Macaca mulatta: one gene and its partner. The protein of the gene in region 1 purifies or fractionates together with the protein of each later gene. This does not show direct contact. Links are inferred from orthologs where the notes say so. Each region holds a gene or a part of one and is shown on either strand. Other genes may lie near its edges. The genes, in order: CSTF3 and CSTF2T.

Region 1 (9,534 bases):
CCCTCTCTAAGGTAAGTCTCTCATGTTGACCACAAAGAAGAAGCTATATACTAAATAAGTAAAAACTCAAAAATGGGCTTAAATACTGAAGTGATAGGTTTATAATTTACTTTGAAATACTTAAGCAGGCTGGGTGCGGTGGCTCACGCCTGTAATCCCAGCACTTTGGGAGGCCGAGGCGGGTGGATCACCTGAGGTAGGGTGTTTGAGACCAGCCTGGCCAACCTGGGGAAACCCCATCTCTACTAAAAATACGAATATCAGCCGGGCGTGGTCGCGGGCGCCTGTAATCCCAGCTACTTGGGAGGCTGAGTAACGAGAATTGCTTGAACCCGGGAGGCAGACGTTGTGAGCTGAGATCGTGCCATTGTACTCCTACCTGGGGGACAAGAGCAAGACTCCATCTCAAAAAAAAAAATACTTAAGCAAAAATAAGATGAAGCAAATATGGCAAAATATTAGCAATATAGGTAGTGGTATGTAGGTATTCATTATACTATTCTATTTTTCTATAGTTTAAAAATCTTTATAATAAAAAGTCACTTTTTATAACTTATGGGGAAAAGAGAGAGCTTAAGGCGTTTTTGTAAATGAACTCCCTGCCCTAAACCCAGAATAATTAAAGTATTAATTGTATTTCTTTTCTTGCAGAGAAATCTGGGCCCGATTTCTAGCATTTGAAAGTAATATTGGTGATCTAGCTAGTATACTCAAGGTGGAGAAAAGACGGTTTACAGCATTCAAAGAAGAGTATGAAGGGAAAGAAACGGCTTTACTAGTAGATAGATACAAGTTCATGGATTTATATCCTTGCTCTGCAAGTGAATTAAAAGCACTTGGTTATAAGGTATGTACTTAGGATCAAGATGTGGAATGTCCTCACTTTTCCAGTGTTTTAGAAGAGTTCATTGATAACCTGCACTCTAAATTCTGAAATGTGAATTAATCTAGTTTTGGAATAGATTTGCAGGAAACAAGAAAAAAGTTCAGAGATTTTCCTGGGGTTTAGGAAATGCTGAGTGTCAGAGTAGCTGCACAAAATGAGAATTGAAATGGGATTTAATAGTTTCATTCTGTCCCTGAAATTGTCAGTGCCTTATATCTTATATCTGGTGGGCAAGATGGAGGAGGTGTGGAGGGAAGAGAAACAAAAGAAAATCTGAATGTTACCTTAGGTATTACTTTTTTTTCTAATAGTTCTTATCAAATTGATACATATATTTTGACCGATCTTAAACCAAATATAGTTCCTGTTGCATATTTTGTAAGATATAATGAAGAAATATTACAGCTTATTAAATCCATAAAGTTCCTTGAGGGATTTGTATTCTTAAAACAGCGCTCCTTCAGTGACCTTTGGGGGAATTAACTCATCTATGAATGGAACTCTTCTATAGCGACTACTGAGTCATAAGAAAACAAATCTGGCACCTGAACCTGTTCGGGCCACAGGGAGAGATTAATATTTACAAAGCCCCAGAAACATCCCGTGCTAAGAAAACCGTTATATCATCTCTTAATCTTTCTGTGACATGTGAACAAAGACTAAGATGGAAATTCGCAGAGAAGTCCTCGGTTGATCTTTTTAAGGCAACCACCATTAGGATGTTCCTAACCATCATTCTCCTTTTTCTCACGGCCCTCTTTTAGCCTGGGTCTTGCTCTGTCTGATCCAGATAAAATATTTTGAGGAAAAACTACCCATAATTGATATTCAGACATTTTTGTTAATGGAAGCCCTATTTCTGTGCCAGACGCAGATTCCTAGTATGAACCATAGGATTACTGCTCAGGGATAAGTTAGTTTCTTCTTCTAGTTTTAACTGCTTCTCAATGAAAAGTCAAAGATATTTTAAGACTACAGTAAGTCCTCATTTAACATTACTGATAGGTTCTTAGAACTTTGACTTTAAGCTAAATGATATGCAGTGGGTCCTCAAATAACGTTTTTGTGTTTAACATGGTTTTGTTATAACCTTGATAAGAAAAGTATTGGTTTTGCTATACATCGTTTCTCTCTCTCTCTATTTTTATTTTTTTTTTGAAATGGTCTCACTCTATCGCCCAGGCTGGAGTGCAATGGTGAGATCATGGCTCACTGCAGCCTTGACTTCCCTGGGCTCAGGTGATCTCCTGTTTCAGCCTCCCAAGTAGTTGGGATTACAGGCAAATGCCACCACACCTGGCTAATTTTTGTATTTTTTTGTGGAGATGGGGTTTCACCATGTTGCCCGGGCTGGCCTCTAACTCCTAGGCTCAAGGGATCCACTTGCCTTGGCCTCCCAAAGTGCTGGGATTACAGGCGGCAGCCATCACGCCTAGCCCATCATTTCTCTAAAAGTTGCAGTTTCCTAGAACCTATTAACAATGTTAAGTGAGGGACTTACTGTACTTTGTGCCATTGCTAGAAAAGGCTATTTCAACTTTTCCAAGATGAAAATGAAAATTAAGGCAGTTAATTAAAATAAAGATCTGCCAGGCATGGTGACTCATGCCTATAATCCCAGCACTTTGGGAGGCTGAGACGGGTGGATCACTTGAGCCCAGTAGTTCAAGACCAGCCTGGGAAACATGATGAAATCCCATCTCTACCAAAAAAAGAGGGAAAAATACAACAATTAGCCAGGTGTGGTGGCACCTGCCAATGGTCCCAGCTATTCGGGAGGCCAAGATGAGCCCAAGAGGGAAGCTGAGGCTACTTTAGTGAGCCGTGATCAAGCCACTGCACTCCTGACTGGGTGACAGAGTGAGATCTTGTCTTTAAAAAAAAAAAAAAAAAATTAAAAAATACAAATAAACAGAAAAGAAAGATCTTATAGTGGCCAGATGTGGTGACTCACACCTGTAATCCCAGCACTTTGGGAGGCCGAGGCGGCTGGATCATCGGAGGTCAGGAGTTTGAGACCAGCCTAGCCAACATGGTGAAACCCCGTCTCTACTAAAATACAAAAATTAGCTGGGCTTGGTGGCGGGCATCTGTAATCCTAGCTACTCAGGAGGCTGAGGCAGGAGAATTGCTTGAACCTGGGAGGTTGTAGTGAGCTGAGATAGTGCCACTGTACTCCAGCCTGGGTGACAGAGTGAGACTCTGTTTCAAAAAAAAAAAAAAGAAAATAGCAAGTATTCAGGAGTAGAACTACTTCCTGAATATGATGTTTTCCATCTTACATTTGTTTCTACTCTTGTTTTTTGGGGAAGGATTAATGTGCTTCTGTGTGTTATGGTGAGTGGTATGGTGTATATGTATCTGTGTGAGAAAGATTTTTTAAAAGTGATACCCAATGTGCCTACCATTTAGATTTGCTTATATAATTAATACCAGATGTCACCAACTGCATTTCAACAAATTTTGAGAAAGTGGAATGCTTTTCTATCCTTCGTTGGTGGCAAAAAGGGGTTATTTTGTTTCTAGACAGACAGAGTGACACTGGGTTGCCTGGAGCAGGGGAGCTCCTCTGAGATAGGGCCTCTGTTCATAGGTGACTGTATTGCTCCCTTTGGCATATCTTGTCTTAGCCCTGGCAGGGCAATGCTAGTGTACTGAAAGGAAGACTGTGGATGGATTTGAGGTCAGAGAGGCCTGCCCTCCCAATCCTCCTCTCTCTACTTACTATCTGTGTGACCTGGGAAATATCAAAACCTTTGTGAGCTTCAGTCCCTTCTATAAAATGGAGATGTTACTATTTGCTTCATTAAAGAGAGAATAAATGGCTAAAATTGCCTGATGAATAGTGTCTGCTCAATAAATATTCCTTGTCCCCTGTAATAAATAGCACATTGGAAATAACTTTTCATTGCATTAGCAAAATCTTAACCCGTGTGATGCCTTCACAAAACAGGACGTCACTTAATCCAGCTTCGTTTAATGAAACTGATGTTCAATTCTAATGGAAGGGAGGTGTCAGAAGATCTAAAATCTTGAATTTTCCTCCAAATTATCCTGACCTCTACTTAGTTCCCAGTCTTATGACTACCCAAAAAAACTTGTATCTGTCCTACAAATGTCCTACCTGGCAACACTGAGTTTAATGACTTTTAACTTGTGTTGGGGTAAAGTTATAATACAGAGTCTTAGAACCAAATGGCTTTCCTTGTTGAGTAACAATCTTTACCATCATTAGAGTCCTTGCTTATCCGTCTCCATTTTCTTCCTGTGGTTTTAACCCAGATATTCACACTGTATCCTCAAGGTTATGAATTGCACGATTATTCTCTAGTAGTCCCTTTTTCAGGTTTAGGATTCTTCTGTTCTGCATTTTCAGGATGTCTCCCGTGCTAAGCTAGCAGCTATAATTCCAGACCCAGTTGTAGCTCCTTCTATAGTGCCTGTTCTGAAAGATGAAGTGGATAGAAAACCAGAATACCCTAAACCAGACACTCAGCAGATGATTCCATTTCAGCCACGACATTTAGCACGTAAGCCATGACTTTAGATCCAGTACTGAGACCTCGGTTTGTTTGTTGATTTAAATCCAAAGTGTGGGGGTAAAGTGACATGGCCTCTCAATTGTGGGTTAATTATTAGACTTAGGGTCACTATGACAAGTGATTTAGCTTTAATCTTTGAAACAGATTAACTAAGAATGTCCTAAAAACAAAACTTCAATGATCCAGATTCCAGGAACCCATTTTGGCAGTAATACTTGGTTTTCAGAAATGCTGCTATGCCCAGGTGCAGTGGTTCACGCCTGTAATCCCAGCACTTTGGGAGGCCAAGGCAGGTGGATCAGCTGAGGTCAGGAGTTCAAGACCAGCCTGACCAACATGGTGAAACCCTGTCTTTACTAAAAATACAAAAATTTTCTGGGCATGGTGGCACACGCATGTAATCCCAGCTACTTGGGAGGCTGAGGCAGGAGAATCACTTGAACCCAGGAGGCGGAGGTTGCAGTGAGCCCAGATCTTGCTATTGCACTCCAGCCTGGGTAACAAGAGCGAAACTCTGTATCAAAAAAAAAAAAAAGCTAAACAGCTTTTTACCTGAACAGCTGGAAACTTTCTTCACTGATACAATGTTGGTTTCTTTACTTACTAATGGTTAGTAGCCTCTCTAGATTCTTTTTGAACAAAGCCCTTCTGATTAAATATGCTGTTGAATAATTGACTTGAAAAAGGATTGCTAAACAAATGACTTGTGTAACTCAGAAACAGTCTTTGACAAAAACTGACTTTAGTTCAGTCCCCAATTGTCTTATACAAAGTCACTTGTCTACTTCTCTGCCTCGCAGTGGCCATGGCATTGAGACTGCTCTGTCTCACCCACTTTGGTTTGGTAAAGCCCTAAAAGTATTTTCAGTGTCCAGAACAAAGCAGCATAGACATGGAAGATCTTTATGTGCAAGTCACTTGATTTTAGCTCTGTGTAGAAATTCTTCCATCCCACTTGATTCATACTTTTCTTTTTCTCACAGCTCCAGGCTTACACCCTGTACCTGGTGGAGTGTTCCCAGTCCCTCCTGCAGCTGTTGTTTTAATGAAACTTCTCCCTCCTCCTATCTGTTTCCAGGTTTGTTCACTTATTTTCACGGTAGATACTGGCTCTGTGGGTTACAGTAATTGTGTATAAAGTTACTGCTATTTTAACTTGTCAGATTACTGGGATTAAAATTTATTCATGTCAAAATAGGGTCCTTTCGTACAAGTGGATGAACTGATGGAAATTTTCCGAAGATGCAAGATACCAAATAGTAAGTAACAGAAAATCCATTTCAGAGTGTCATTCCACATTGTTGTCTCATAAGCCGTAGAGATTATTATTCTCTGCCACTGAAGTTTTTGAAACCAGCCAGCCAATTTGAAGTACAGTGAAACCCAGGAGTTACCCAAACCCTCTTTGGCAGAGAGAGGCTTATTCATACTGAATTCCACTAAGTAAAATGTCATAAAAGTTTATCTTTTCTATTCATGTGAACATGTACTTTGGCTTATTAAAATTATTAGTTTTAACAGCAGCTTTTGTCTTTTTCTTTCATTATTTAGTATCAGTAGTACTATCCCATGTTTTGCTAAATTAGTAGGCTATGAAATGAACTATAAAGTGTCCACAGTTGAACATACATACCCTTTCATAGTGGAATATGTTTTTACGTTTTGTTGTTTTAACAGCTGTTGAGGAAGCTGTGAGGATCATTACTGGTGGGGCCCCAGAGCTAGCTGTAGAAGGCAACGGCCCTGTGGAAAGTAATGCAGTACTCACCAAGGCCGTCAAAAGGCCCAACGAGGATTCAGATGAAGATGAAGAAAAGGGAGCCGTTGTCCCCCCTGTTCATGACATTTACAGAGCACGGCAGCAGAAGCGGATTCGGTAGGGCTTAAACGCCTCTGCAGAAAACTCCTGTCCAGGATTCCTTTTGCCTCAAGTCGTATGTTTAAAAGAGACAACGCTTTGTTACAAGGTTCTTGGAAACAAAGTTGTATTGTCATTGGTGCCTCTATCATATGGTTCTTGAGAAAAAACAAACCAACCTGTGTGAATTTTAGAATATGGAACAGACCTATGCTCTAAGCAAAATTAGGTTTTCAAAAATGTGAGAACAATACAAAATGGCAGAACCACATTTTGTTCCCTCTTCAAGGGTGTCTTGTATGTGCCGCTTGAAGATTTGTGAGTTTTTCAACAGTTTTATTTTAAAAACTGGATGGCTTATGATTGTAAAGCATTTTATCACATTTTCTGAAAACAATTGTTCTTGGTTTGCTTATGTAGAGTCCTGCCTTATTGTTTGTTTTTATTTATGGCAGAATGTATGAAATCCGTTTTGTAGTTTGAAATTTTAAAAGTCCTTTGAAAAATAAAAGGATTCAGAAACATCATGCTTCCTCTGCTCCTTTCAGATTTTATTTACAATAACTACTTTTTTTATGTTATTTATCCAATACCATTTAAAAATAAATGTCAGTACAAGGAAAAGTCATCTTGTATTTACTAAATGTATTAATCACATACTCTTTCCTGGTCTTTTTTGGTGCTAACTAAAAACATTTTTTTTTGTTTTTTTGAGATGGAGTCTTGCTCTGTTGCCCAGGCTGGAGTGCAATGGCCGGTTCTCAGCTCACTGCAAGCTCCGCCTCCCAGGTTTACGCCATTCTCCTGCCTCAGCCTCCCGAGTAGCTGGGACTACCGGCGCCCGCCACCTTGCCTGGCTAGTTTTTTTGTATTTTTTTAGTAGAGACGGGGTTTCACCTTGTTAGCCAGGATGGTCTCGATCTCCTGACCTCGTGATCCACCTCAGCCTCTACCATTTTAGAAATCCTCAAATATGAATGCATTTGCTCCCCAGTAAATCTGAGGCAGATTAAGATCCTGTTAATACTTTTGTCTCTCTTGAAAGCAACCTAAGTGTGGAAATTCCTTTAACCACCTGCTGTCTTGTTCTCACACAGAGTGTCCCTTATCTGAATATACTTGGGACCAGAAGTGTTCAGGATTTTGGATTTGTTTAGATTTCAGAATATTTGCATCATACTTACCAGTTCACCATCCCTAATCCAAAAGTCCAAATTCCAAAAAACTCCACTAAGCATTTTCTTTGTGCATCATGTTGACACCCAAAAGGTTTTGGATTTTGGAACACTTTGGATTTCAGATTAGGGATACTGAACTTGAATATTTTCACACGTGGCCAGTTCTCAAGAACCTTTTTTTTCCCATGAGCTAAACATAGATAACATTAAGGAAAATGACATCTATTTAACTAAATTCTAATTACAGTGAGCAAAAACTTGTCATGCAAATTAAGTCCAAAGAAATAGACTGTGCTCTTTGGTAACATTACCTCCTCTTCTCTTTACGTGTTAAAAACTAAAAAGCAGGAAGGAAACAAAAAGGAGGGGAGGACAAGTATTATGGTTATAAAGAAATGATCTTACATATTAGAAACAATTTAGACAGTTTAGAATTTGAATTCAGATGTGATTAAATAATCTGACATTTAAAATCAGCTTCAGATGGCCCACAAAAGCCTTACTTGTAAAAGAAAAGTTTTCCTGAATCATTTTCTCATATAAATTTATATGTAGCAAGGTTATATAAATTGGTCAAAAGTGTGTTTAGTTTCCAGTATTTTCCCATTAAAGCTAAAATCGCCTCTCAAAACAAAGTCAGCTGCCTCTAATTCAGACTTTCTTACCCTTTCAAGTATCACTTTCAAGTTGTGAGTTTTTAAAAAATATCACAGTTACCATCAAAACTTAAGACACAAGTAGGCCAGGTGCGGTGGCTCACGCCTGTAAATCCCAGCACTTTGGAAGGCCGAGGCGGGCAGATTATTTGAGGCCAGGAGTTCAAGATCAGCCTGGCCAACATAGTGAAACCCTGTCTCTACTAAAAATACCAACAAAAATTAGCTGGGCATGGTAGCACAAGCCTGTAAATCCAGCTACTTGGGAGGCGAAGGCGTAAGAATTGCTTGAACCTGTGAGGCAGAGGTTGCAGTGAGCCGAGAGAGCACCACTGCACTCCAGCCTGGGTGACAGAGCGGGACTCTCAAAAAAAAAAAAAAAAAAAAAAAAAGACACAAGTAGTACCATATGGCATAGACTTTAAAATATAGAGGTGTAGGCTGGGCACAGTGGCTTGTGCCTGTAATCCCAGCATTTTGGGAGGCTGAAGATTACTTGAGGCCAGGAGTTCGAGGCCAGCTGGCCAACATAGTGAAACCCCGTCTCTACTAAAAATACCAAAAAAAAAAAAAAAAGTTAGCTGGACATGGTAGCACAAGCCTGTAGCCCCAGCTACTCTGGAGGCTGTGGTGGGAGGATCACCTGAGCCCAGGAGGCCAAGGCTGCAGTGAACCATGATCGCACTACTGTACTCCAGCCTGGGCGACAGAGTGAGACCCTGTTTCAAAAATAAAATATAGAGGTGTAGACTTGTTCCTGAAGTGCCATTTTTGGTGGTTAGTGTCATGGGTGAGCAGCGACTATCTGGGGCTGATGGTGTGGGGGTAAGAAGAAACTTACCAAGACGATTGTAGGTAGAGAAAGGTAGATTAGAGAAGGTATGAAGATGCACTGCAAGGCTGGAACAGGCAGAGATGGGGCTTGTCTGCAAAGAGACAAAGGCTTGCTGGGGATTTTATAGGATGGTGCTATGTGCTGAAGAGGGTTTTATGTACTACTGAGAATGCCAAGGTTGCAGTGAGCTAACTTGAAGGTGTCTGGTGATAAGCTGGGTGCAGTACGGCTACATGTCCTGGACCATGAAGAAAGGCAGACTCATAATTTATCTGCTTCTCCCTGTTCCTAGCAGCCTGACTCCCTTTCCCTAATTAGGACTCCACAGTTAGTGTTTTGAAGAAGACAAACAGGCCGGGCGAGGTGGCTCACGCCTATAATCACAGCTCTTTGGGAGGCTGAGGTAGGCGGATCACCTGAGGTCAGGCGTTCGAGACCAGCCTGACCAACATGGTGAAACCCCGTCTCTACTAAAAATACAAAATTAGCTGGGCATGGTGGCACATGCCTACAATCCCAGCTACTTGGGAGACTGAGGCAGGAGAATTGCTTGAACCTGGGAAGCAGATGTTGTAGTGA
Region 2 (10,782 bases), on another chromosome or scaffold:
TTTTGAGACAGAGTCTCACTCTGTTTGCCCAGTCTGGAGTATAGTGGCACAATCTCGACTCACTCTAATCTCCACCTCCCAAGTTCAAATACTTCTCGTGCCTCAGATTCCCAAGTAGCTGGGATTACAGGGGCTTGCCAACATGCCTGGCTAAGTTTAGTATTTTTAGTAGAGATGGGGTATCACCACATTGGCCGGGCTGGTCTCGAACTCCTGACCTCAAGTGATCGGCCCCCCTCAGCCTCCCAAAGTGCTGGGATTACAGGTGTGTGCCACCACGCCCGACTCCCAAGTGTCACTTTTGACACAATTCTGCCCTCAAATTACATGTTATATATTGTTATAGAATAATATCAAGAACAAACATGCTAGTTAATATTTTATGAGCAAGGTAATTGGTAATATGAATATTTGTGAAGGTGAATTTTCAACCAAAGAAGTAAACTTTTGTTTCAGGGTGCATAAAGACAAATGAAAATATTTAAAGATCTGGGTCAGTTAACATTTGAAATAAATATGTATAAGCACATTATATAGTATGCCAATATCATGTAATATCCCTATTAATATTTAATATTAAATTTTATATTTAGGGATACTTACAATATATTAATAATGTCCTTAATATGAATCAGTTCTTAACCAGAGCATTCTTGATAAGAGACTGATGAAGAAAGCAAGCTTCAACCAGGAAAGTCCATCTAGAGATTAGCTGATATAAAATAATGAGAGACTGACATTCTTTTGTGAGAAGACTGTCAGATGTAACTGCTAATTCAGTTTCTCTGCCACAGTAGGTTGTTGCACATAATTATCCATAGACCTCATCAGACCTAAGAGAAAGGTCTGACACGCCATAGGAAATTATGTTCTGTGTGCTTAACCAATGTCCCATCACAGCATGGAAAAACAAGAAGCTTTGCAAGCTGTGATTATGTTAACGGTTTTCTTTTTAAAATGTCTTTCTACCATTAGAATTCTGAAAAGTGTAGTTGAAAAACCAGACATAATCTTACTTAGATTAGCCTACCTTTGTCTGGGATTCACATTAGCTTATATCTTATCAAATACTCCAAAATCCTAGGAAGTCAACAGATGTTAAAACATATTTTTGGTATTAATCATCAGTAATATGAGGGCAAGGGCTAATGGGCAGGCACTGATTAAAGTTGATCATTTCATAATCCCAAGAAACATGTACTCCCCAAGAGGATAAGCCTTAAAGAAGCATTAGCAAATCACTGTTTCACCCCATCATCTTCAACTATTATGATGAATGAATTGGTGATTTTATTTTAGTCTACACATCTTAGGGAAAATTCAGGATGTGAGGGGTTATAACCGATGATTTTGTAGTAAAACACATAAAAGATTCTGATTGTGGCAATATTGCTTGCATTATTCTTTACTATCAAATGAAATAAGGCTCTATGCTTTCTATATCAATATTGGAACATTCAATGAATCAGAAGTGAGGACAATCTATTTCCTTAGCTTTCACAGAGTAGAGGTGATTGTTTTTAATAACCTATTTCTAATTGTTTTTTAAAATGGAAATAGTTGTTATAGCTCATTTGTTCTGTGTTGAATCTAAACTCTTATGAGGGCAGTATATGTGCTTTTAATGGGATTTTCCCCCTAATAACTCTAATAGAATATTTTGTCCTTTTCCCATCTGTGAATATGGTAGTGAGATAGACTGTCCCTGTGTTCAGTTTGTGGGCGTGGAAGTGTATAGTAGCAGATAAAAGGTAAACAGTGCACTGCAATATAACTAAGGTTGTCAGTAATGAAGATAGCTACAAGGTGCTATTGGAATACAGAGGATTTCTCTCTGGGGAACATAAGCTTAATATCTATCACCAAGATGTTGCTCATACCAACCACAAAATGGCACGTCTTTATAGTTATTTCAACTGTCAAACTATATAGATAATGGTTCTAAGAGAGTTCCATCCATTACTGCAATTTCATTAGTTCTGCCTTTTGCATTAAAAACAAAAGATAATCAGGCCCCATGTATATCCACAATGGAAGACTTTTGCATAATGTATTCATTAAAAATAAACATATCAGATACTAACTCAGCCTTAATTGTATTTTTATTTTCTGCATTAAACAATGCAGGGATTTGACTAAAGACTGTAACATTTAATAATTTTCAGTTAGAGCCCTTCAGTGAAAGCTTTGAGATAAAGCAACTAGAATCTCAAAGTGATCGAGCCAACTCTGTGACTTAGTATTAACCATAACTATCGCACATGTAAAGGTGAGTTATCCTCTCCAATAGAGGGGAAGCATATAGGAAACATGGGAAAGTAGCAATATGAACAACAGACTAAAACAGGTAGTAGAAAACAACAGCATAGGGGTGAAAACCTTGTGAACAAAGAATACTAATTTAAAATGTAAACGTTTTGCAAAGGGAAGATAACTGAATTTCTACATTTTCAGCTCTTTGTATTAAACATTTTGTAATCTGTAACTAGATATTGGTTTTTCTTCTCCACAGAAGATCACCTGATATTTGATAACTTATGCTTTTATTAATTACTACTTGTTTTATAATACAAATGTTTGTGTTCACATCCTCAAGGCTTTATTTTCAAGGAAAAATAAAGTCGTAGTAGCGCAATGTAATAAGCCCCATCTTTCAACCAATTTTTAATTGTCTCATTGGTATGTATATTAGGACTAAATGGCTGTATTCCTTACAAAAAGTAAAATAAGCAATAAGTCAACTGAGTATTCAGGCTATATAAAAACTTCTACCTACTTGGGCCTTGATTATTCTGGTAACATGATTAATGATAGAAAAGTAGATTATGAAATAAGAAAACTAAAAGGCATGTTAAATGCTGTTTAGTCTAAAGGTTTTTAACTCCTGTCTGGTGGAGCAAATGGACACCATCTGTATATGAAAGCCAGATACCAAGAAACTGAGAGTTTACTTAGTGAAACCTACTACTTATGAAAAGTCAAATATCATGTATAACTCATCCAGATCAACTGGTCCCTAGACACTGATTTTTGGGAAGGATGTGAGAGAATTACTGACTCAGATTTAGGGCTTAAAGACTATTGAGAAATTGGAAGGTATTGAGAGATAGGGTTCATCAGAGTGGACTTAAGTAACCTGGTTGATTTTAGAATTGTCACAGCAAAATCAACATGCTCTGATGCTTGGGGCCTGGCAGAACCTTGCTGGTCTCTGAAGGCTGGGATAAATGAAGCGACAGTAAACCAGGTGTACTCCTTGATTTTTCAGGTAACACAACTTTAGAAAAAAACAATTCTAATACAAGTTTAACCTTATCCTGTTAACTCTAATATTTCAAAAATAATTCTAAAACACTAAGACAATGCTTATCCTATTGCCTCCAATAGGATTTTGTATTTTAAATGGTTTACCAAAAAATGTATCTTATACTTTTGGGTAAACTTTATTTTGTTATACAACCAAAAATCTTAAAACCATCTTAGTACATTAACGTTTTAACAGGTCAACTTTTAGTCTTTATGAGCAGTTTTCACAAAGTTTTACTCAACATTTAAAAAATGTAGTTAACATACTGTAGACACTTCAATATTGCTGCTTATTCTTTGTAATCTTATTTGGCATAATGTTGTCATGTTCAGAGTTATTTTACAGTAACTTAAAGTGAACAGACACACTCCCTCCTCCCCCCACCCTCAATTAAAAATAAAAAAGGAAAACAGAAAGAAAGAAAAAGAACAAAAAGTAAGATTAGGTTCTAGGAGGAGGGAAACCCTAATCCAAGTGTGGGGATGCAGAAGTCAGCTTTTTGCACCCATTCTCCATGCTACAGAATAAACTTTGAGACTACAGCCAAATATTTTCTAAAACCTTTCAAGAAGTTCCAGTGGATTTCTGGATTTGTTCCTTTAAAATCAGGATACTCTGCCTTTGCTCAGGGGGCAGCATGGCAATCTGATCTGCAGTTAGTTGAAGAACCTGCATGATCAAAGCCGCCTTTTCCTGATCCTGTGGAGTGACCTGGCTCTGCCCAGGACTAAAACTGCTAGGCTGGCTTCCACCTTGCTTGCTTGCCCCCTGTATGCCTCCTCCTTGTATACCCACTCCTTGTATGCCTGCCCCCTGCATCCCTCCTCCTTGTATGCCTGCCCCCTGCATGCCTGCTCCCTGCATGCCTGCTCCTTGTATGCCTGTACCCTGCATACCAGCTCCAGGATTCCCCACCCCTGAAATGCCGGGGACCTGTCTGGGTCCCTGAGGAGGGCCACCTGCCCCTATATTAATGGGACCAGGACCCTGAATTCCACCAGTCATAGGACCTCTTGTACTGGGGACAGGGCCCCTCATCTCCAATCCTCTTGCATCCATGCCTCTTGCTTCCATCCCTCTGGTTTCCATGGCACAGGTCTCCATTCCTCTCCTCTCCATTACACGTGTCTCTAAGACCTCAGTTTCCATGGCGCGAGTCTCCATCGCTCGAGAATCTCTACTACCTCTACCATCCATAGGTAGACCCCTTTGATCTATCATGGGGCCTCTGGGCTCTCCAATTAGCAGTCTGGGATCTCCTAATGGCCCTCCCCTCATCTCATGTGAGGAAGGGCCACGAGTGTCATGACCAGAGGCATGATGCATGGGGGGACCCTGATGGGGTGGACCCAGATAACCTCTGGGCTCCACTTCTCCAGTGACTGAAAGCAAAGTCCCTCCACGTGGGTCATTTGGAGCATCTCCTAACAGTCCTCGAGGAGGTAGACCACCAGGAGTCATGGGTCCACGAGGTATAGGAGCTCTAGGATCTGACATCTGCACTTGTCCCCGCTCTAAAGGCACTGGGCCAACCCCTGGCATTCCAAGTTGGGGCTGCATTGCTCCTCCAGGAGTTAAGGAACCAGGACCAGGTCCGGGAACTGCAGCTGGTATTGGCCCTGGAGCTGGAATTCCACCCTGGATAGGAGTCTGCATCAGAGGAGGAATGTCCTTCACAGGTCTTCTAGCCAAATGCTGAGGCTGAGGAGCTGGTGGATTCTGCTGGTTCAGCAGAACATTAGGTCCTGGGCAGAGCCCAGGGCCAGGGCCAGGACCAGGGCCAGGGCCAGGGCCAGAGACAGACACAGACTGAGATTTGCCTGGGATCAGTGGTGTGACATGTATCTTCCGATGAAGAATTTTCAGAGCAATCTCTGGATCCATGATTCTCATCACTACTTGCGCCTGCAACAGCGCATAAGCCAGTTGTGGATTTTGAAGTAACATGTTTCGAGCTTCCTGGTGGCTGTTTTGGACACAGAGCTTCATCTGCTTCATCAGCTCAAACATCTGCTCCGGGGGGAGACTGGCTACTGCTCTGGTAATCGATTCAGGGGCATCTTCTGGATCGATGGGATCCCCATAGGGTGAGTCAATAATGGGCGCTGCAGGCCCGAGGCTCTTTAACTCCTCCTTATTCTTTTCACTGGCAGCATTGTCCACCCGAAGCGCTCTGCCACTGAACTCCCGCCCATTGAGGTTCCGCATGGCACTAAGCGCGGTTTCCTGGTCTTGGTATTCGCAGAAGCCATAGCCCTTGGGTTTTCCCGTCTCTCTATCGTATACCAGCCGGAAACTGACAACAGAACCAACCTCCGAGAAAATGTCCTTTAACTGCTCCTCAGTTGCCTCATACGGAATGTTCCCCACGAACACGGAACGCAGTGATCGATCCATTGCCGGGTCTCTCACCGCCAAACTCGACATGATTCCGGTTGTGCACACTGCCGATAGCGGATTCTTCCAGGCGTCTGTCCTCTTGCGACCGACACTTCCGCTGAGCAACGGAAGCGGCTCTCAAGATCCGGGCAGAAACCTTACTAATTCGCTTGAATCGTTCTGCTTGCCTGTGGAACCTGCATCCCACTAACAAGTTATCTAATGCTTTAAGTCCCTGATCCTTCGTGGTTCTGTCAGCTTCTTATTACAGAGTCGCATGATTCCTTTCCCATTTCACCTTCCGCCGACTTTCTGTGGAGCCCCAACAGCCCCGCTACGACACCCTTGGTGCGAGATGACCACAGTAAAGATGGCCGCATAGACTTCACCATAGTAACTGGGAGGGGACTCCTCCCTTGACGTCAAAGGCGGTTTTGCTTCCGTTCCACCGGCGGGAAACCGCCAACCGAAAGCGGATTTAAGGCGGCATGTTTTTCGTTCTGACAAAGTATTTTCATGTGGCCTTTTATTATAGTATAGTTAAGCTAGATTTCAAATCACATTCCAGACTGAGGCAAAAGCGTAGTCGTTTCAAAGCACATTTGAGATTTGCCCCTTAAAGTAAAACAGTATTATATTTCCTTTTTAGAACAACGTTTTTGGAAATTAACTGACAAGAAATATAAACTGAAGCGTGTGCCTGCTGGACCCTGCCCCCGCTCTGTGGCTTCCTATAACCGCTGTTAATGGATGGGTGGCAGACCCTTCTAGGTTTTTTTGAGCACACGGGCAGCAGTCGTGCTATTCCTAATATTACGGTTTTCTTCCTTAATAATAACCGATTTCAGTATTAATTGGTGATTAAATAAATTAGTTATTAGCATTTTATGGCTTCAGAGTATGGAATAATGAAATTTACTTAACTATCCCTACATTGATTGGTTCTGATTTTTATTATATCATGCAGTGAATCCACCACTTCCATGAAGGGAAAAACAAATAGTGGTTGTCTTCTGCTGTTAGCTTTCCAGGCAGGAGTTAAAACATATTCACTGTGGGATTTCCTCGACTCCAATTCGAAGATAGAACTGAAACTTGGGGATGGCTAGGTAAATTCCCAAGGACAAGCAGCCGGAAAGAGGCAAAGTCAGGATTCTAACCCAGGTTGGTCTCGCATAGCTCCAGATCTACACTGCCTTACGCATATTGAATATTTGAAATGCAGCTAGTGTGATTGAGGAATTGAATTTTAAATTTCATTTTTTATTAATTTAAATATAAAAACTAATGTTCAGTAGGCTATTGGAAAACTTTTTTAGTATTTATGACAACTTGGGTATAAAATCTACTTTTGCAGTAATAAATTGTATTTTAAATAAAAATCATTTCACAGAACACTAAGATAAAACAAACAAACAAACAAAAAAAGAAATAAAAAGAAAGTACTTCCAGTCAAAATTTAACATTCCAGTTGAGGTATGCCATGCATGTAAGACACATGAAAGATTTTAATGATCAAATACCAAAAAATGTAAAAATAGCTCATCAATTTTATATTGTTTATAAGTTGAAATGTAATATTTTTGTATACTGGATTAAAAAATTATTTTGAAGTTAATGTTATTCATTTCACTTTTTAAAATGTGGCTATTAGAAAATTTAAAATTATATGTATATATTGCATTATACATCTGTGGACTGGACTGCTCCAAGTCTGTGCTTTAACTCCAAAACAGAGAATTATTTTATTCTGAAATATGCCTCTTAAGTGGATTATGAAACTTCTAAATTTCAGCCAAAAAATTGTATTATGTATCCGCAGAATCCTCGTCCAATGAATAGATTTGACATGAGTATGATGGTTTAGTTGCAAATAAGACATCCATTTACCTTCAAGTTTTTGAAACGGTTCTGTACTTAGCTGTTCACCCAAGACGCACGACAGTTTATATTTGCAAATGATAAGGTGCATTTACATCACCTAACAAGATTTCCCTGCTATATCAAAGAAACAGAATAGTCATCTGCTAGCAGTGTTTCCCCAGTGTGATTCATTTATTGGGGACAAAAGGGGAGGGGTTAAGGATAGTATCATTTCAAAAAACTAAAGACAAATTTATTTTTCTTCCTTCTACACCATCACTTTACAAAGAGAAGCCATACCTTTTTTATACATGTCCCGTCAAGGGTAACTTACAAGTTGAATATGTGTGTAATTGTGTGTGTATTAAATGTAGTAATCATGAAGATAGTAACGGGGTATTATAATACATTGCAAAATTCATAGAAGATCGCACAGCTTGACAGAGTTTCTTTACTGCTGATACTATCTAAACCAGTGGTCCTCACATGCATCAGAATCACCTTGAGCCACGGCTTGTTAAGTCAGATTCTGCTTTAGCAGGTCTGGAGAATTTGCATTTCTAATAAGCTCTCAGGTGACGCTGATGCTGCTGGTTTGGAGATCTTTAAGAATCATTGGTCCTAGGGATTGTTAGTAGATTTTCTCATTTATATCAGACCGAACTAAATTTAGTATACTCTATTAAAAGGTTTTAGGTAAAGGTTTTAAAAACATTATTAATTTACTATTAATATACTATTCTAGTACATGCTGATCTGCTACTGAAGATACACTGGACATGAAGACTGGGTGAACAGAGAGTAGTTGAAGGACTATGGGGAAAAACAAGAAGGGGGAAGTTATGACTATAGAGTGTGCCTTAGTCACAGGCTTTCCATGTTCTCTTTAGTCCCACTATTGCAAACTAGTAGAATGATTTGTCATGCCCCCCTTCATACAGGACCAGTGTGACCCACCATGTAATTCCATGCCCAGAACACACAAACTAATACTTATTGTTAACTGAATGGCCCCACATCAAGAGCTCAGAGAAACCTATGTATATTTCCTGGTACCAGTACATATTTTTTTTAATAGATCTAACTTGGAAGAACATCCATTTTTATACTGCTTTTTTATTCCCATAAAGTTTAAATTTTAGATATTTATAGCATGGCATACACTCTGAAGAAAAGTGTACGTGGTATAGTGTATGTTCAGATGTTGATTCTTTCAATAGATTGATACCAAATATGTTAAGACTGATTTCAAACACACAAGAGAATGTATGGCCAAATGGAAGCTGTCCTCTAATCACTTTCAGAAACTATAAACTTAATCCATTGCTCAAAATGATTTTTTTTTTTTTTTTTTTTTTTTTTTTTGACACAGGATTTCACTCCCGTCAGCCAGGCTGGAGTGCAATGGTGTGATCTTGGCTTACTGCAGCCTCTGCCTCCTGGTCTCAAGCCTCTGCCTCCTGGGCTCCTGCTTTAGCCTCCCGAGTAAAGACTACAGGCATATGCCACCGCTCATGGCTAGTTTTTTGTGTATTTTGTAGAGACGGGGTTTCATCATGTTGGCCAGGCTGGTCTCGAACTCCTGAACTCAAGCGATCTACTTGCCTCAGCCTCCCAGAGATTGGGCATTATAGGCATAAGACATTGTACCTGGCCTCAGACTGATTTTTGAACTTCTACCCTGAAATTGCTTTGGGCCTCATTTGTAAGTCATACTAGAAAATCAGTACACTAACTGAACAGTGTACTTTATTTTTAACAAAGAACAGGATTATGCAACAAAATCACCCAACTTCCTGACCAGATTTGGAAAAAATGTCATGCTTAGCTAATTCTAAATATCAAACCTTACATCAGAATATAAAAATTCTATAATCTTTGAGGGAATTTAAGAAAAAGATTCACCATAGAGTATAGGGAAAAAAGAAAAGATTCACTATAGATTAAGTAGACAAATTGCAAAGACAAGAACTAAAAATATTTTGAGTAATGACAGGCATTTTTGAAATAAGTGTATGGGTCCTTCAAGGAATAGCACAAATAAACTGCTCCACAAAGCTTTCTATGACCTTTCTACCCTTTCCTCTAGGTTAGAAGTAATTTTGTTTTTCTTTGGATATAAACTATTCCTTATAACTTGTACCTTCCTGATTATAGTAACTCCTTTACCTTTCAGTAAAATTGCAATTTTTCTTCTAAACTATAAAATAATTGTATATCCCCCTTTATCAGTTAACTAAGTGCTTCAAATGTATTATTTAATTCCATCAATATTTATTCCAAACACTGACAATACAGCAGTGAAAACAATAGACAGTCTACCAGAACAGAAGGTCTCTAAATGTGGTCCTTGGTTCAGTGGCATCAGCATCACCTGGAAATATCTTAGAAAATAAAAGTTTGGGGCCCTACTCCAAATCTGTTGCATCAGAAATGGAGAAATCTTTGAACAAGTTTTCCAGGTAGTTCTAATTCAAGCTCAATTTTGAGAACCACCACATTATAAGAATGCAATCATAGTTGGCAGGCACAGTGACTCACGCCTGTAATCCTGGCACTTTGGAAGGCGGCAGCGGGTGGATCATTCGATCAGGAGTTCAAGACCAGCCTGGCCAACATGGTGAAACCCCATGTCTACTAAAAATGCAAAAATTAACCAGATGTGGTAGTGCGTGCTTCTAATCCCAGCTATTTTGGAGGCCGAGGTGGGAGGATCGCTGGAATGTGGGATGTGGATGTTGCAGTGAACTGAGATCACACCACTGCATTCCAGCCTGGGCAACAGAGTAAAATTTCCATATCTAAAAGAAAAAGAGAAGACAAAACCAGAATGCAATTATAGTATAGATAGCTGATAGATAAACAGATAAATATTTTGTTTTCACCTCTATATCCTCAACACCTGGGATAGAGCTCAGCACAGGTGGATGTTCATTATATATTTGTTGAATGCATGATAGGAAATGACTTTAAAGTTTATTAATTCACAAATATTTCATTTTACCAAGGACAGAACCTGTGGCATTGAATAACGTGCCTCAAATCAAAGAGAAGACATGCTGCCAGGACCCTTGTCATTTTATTCCTAGGTCAGTGATAGTTCTTCCAGGTTGCCATTTGATAAGATAGATATGCAATAAAGTACGTAGAGATGGAAGAGAGTGATATGGTCTAGATCATCAAGGAAAGTTTTCTGATGGAAATGAGATTTAGGGATGGGTTATAATCTGGCA

Evidence for each region.
Region 2: the proteins of CSTF3 (region 1) and CSTF2T purify together in Homo sapiens (co-immunoprecipitation; 4 studies listed by BioGRID and IntAct, counting the BioPlex papers as one, with this or other methods). This does not show direct contact. The link is inferred for Macaca mulatta from reciprocal best matches to the Homo sapiens genes CSTF3 and CSTF2T.

The regions. Positions count from the first base shown.
Region 1 is NC_133419.1:32,188,567-32,198,100, forward strand, and holds the end of CSTF3 (cleavage stimulation factor subunit 3), read left to right. Parts: intron 1-651; coding exon 652-847; intron 848-4,262; coding exon 4,263-4,416; intron 4,417-5,411; coding exon 5,412-5,506; intron 5,507-5,626; coding exon 5,627-5,687; intron 5,688-6,105; coding exon 6,106-6,308; 3' UTR 6,309-6,810; downstream 6,811-9,534. UniProt on the Homo sapiens protein: One of the multiple factors required for polyadenylation and 3'-end cleavage of mammalian pre-mRNAs.
Region 2 is NC_133414.1:98,059,932-98,070,713, reverse strand, and holds CSTF2T (cleavage stimulation factor subunit 2 tau variant), read right to left. Parts: upstream 5,787-10,782; 5' UTR 5,735-5,786; coding exon 3,872-5,734; 3' UTR 3,759-3,871; downstream 1-3,758. UniProt on the Homo sapiens protein: May play a significant role in AAUAAA-independent mRNA polyadenylation in germ cells. Directly involved in the binding to pre-mRNAs.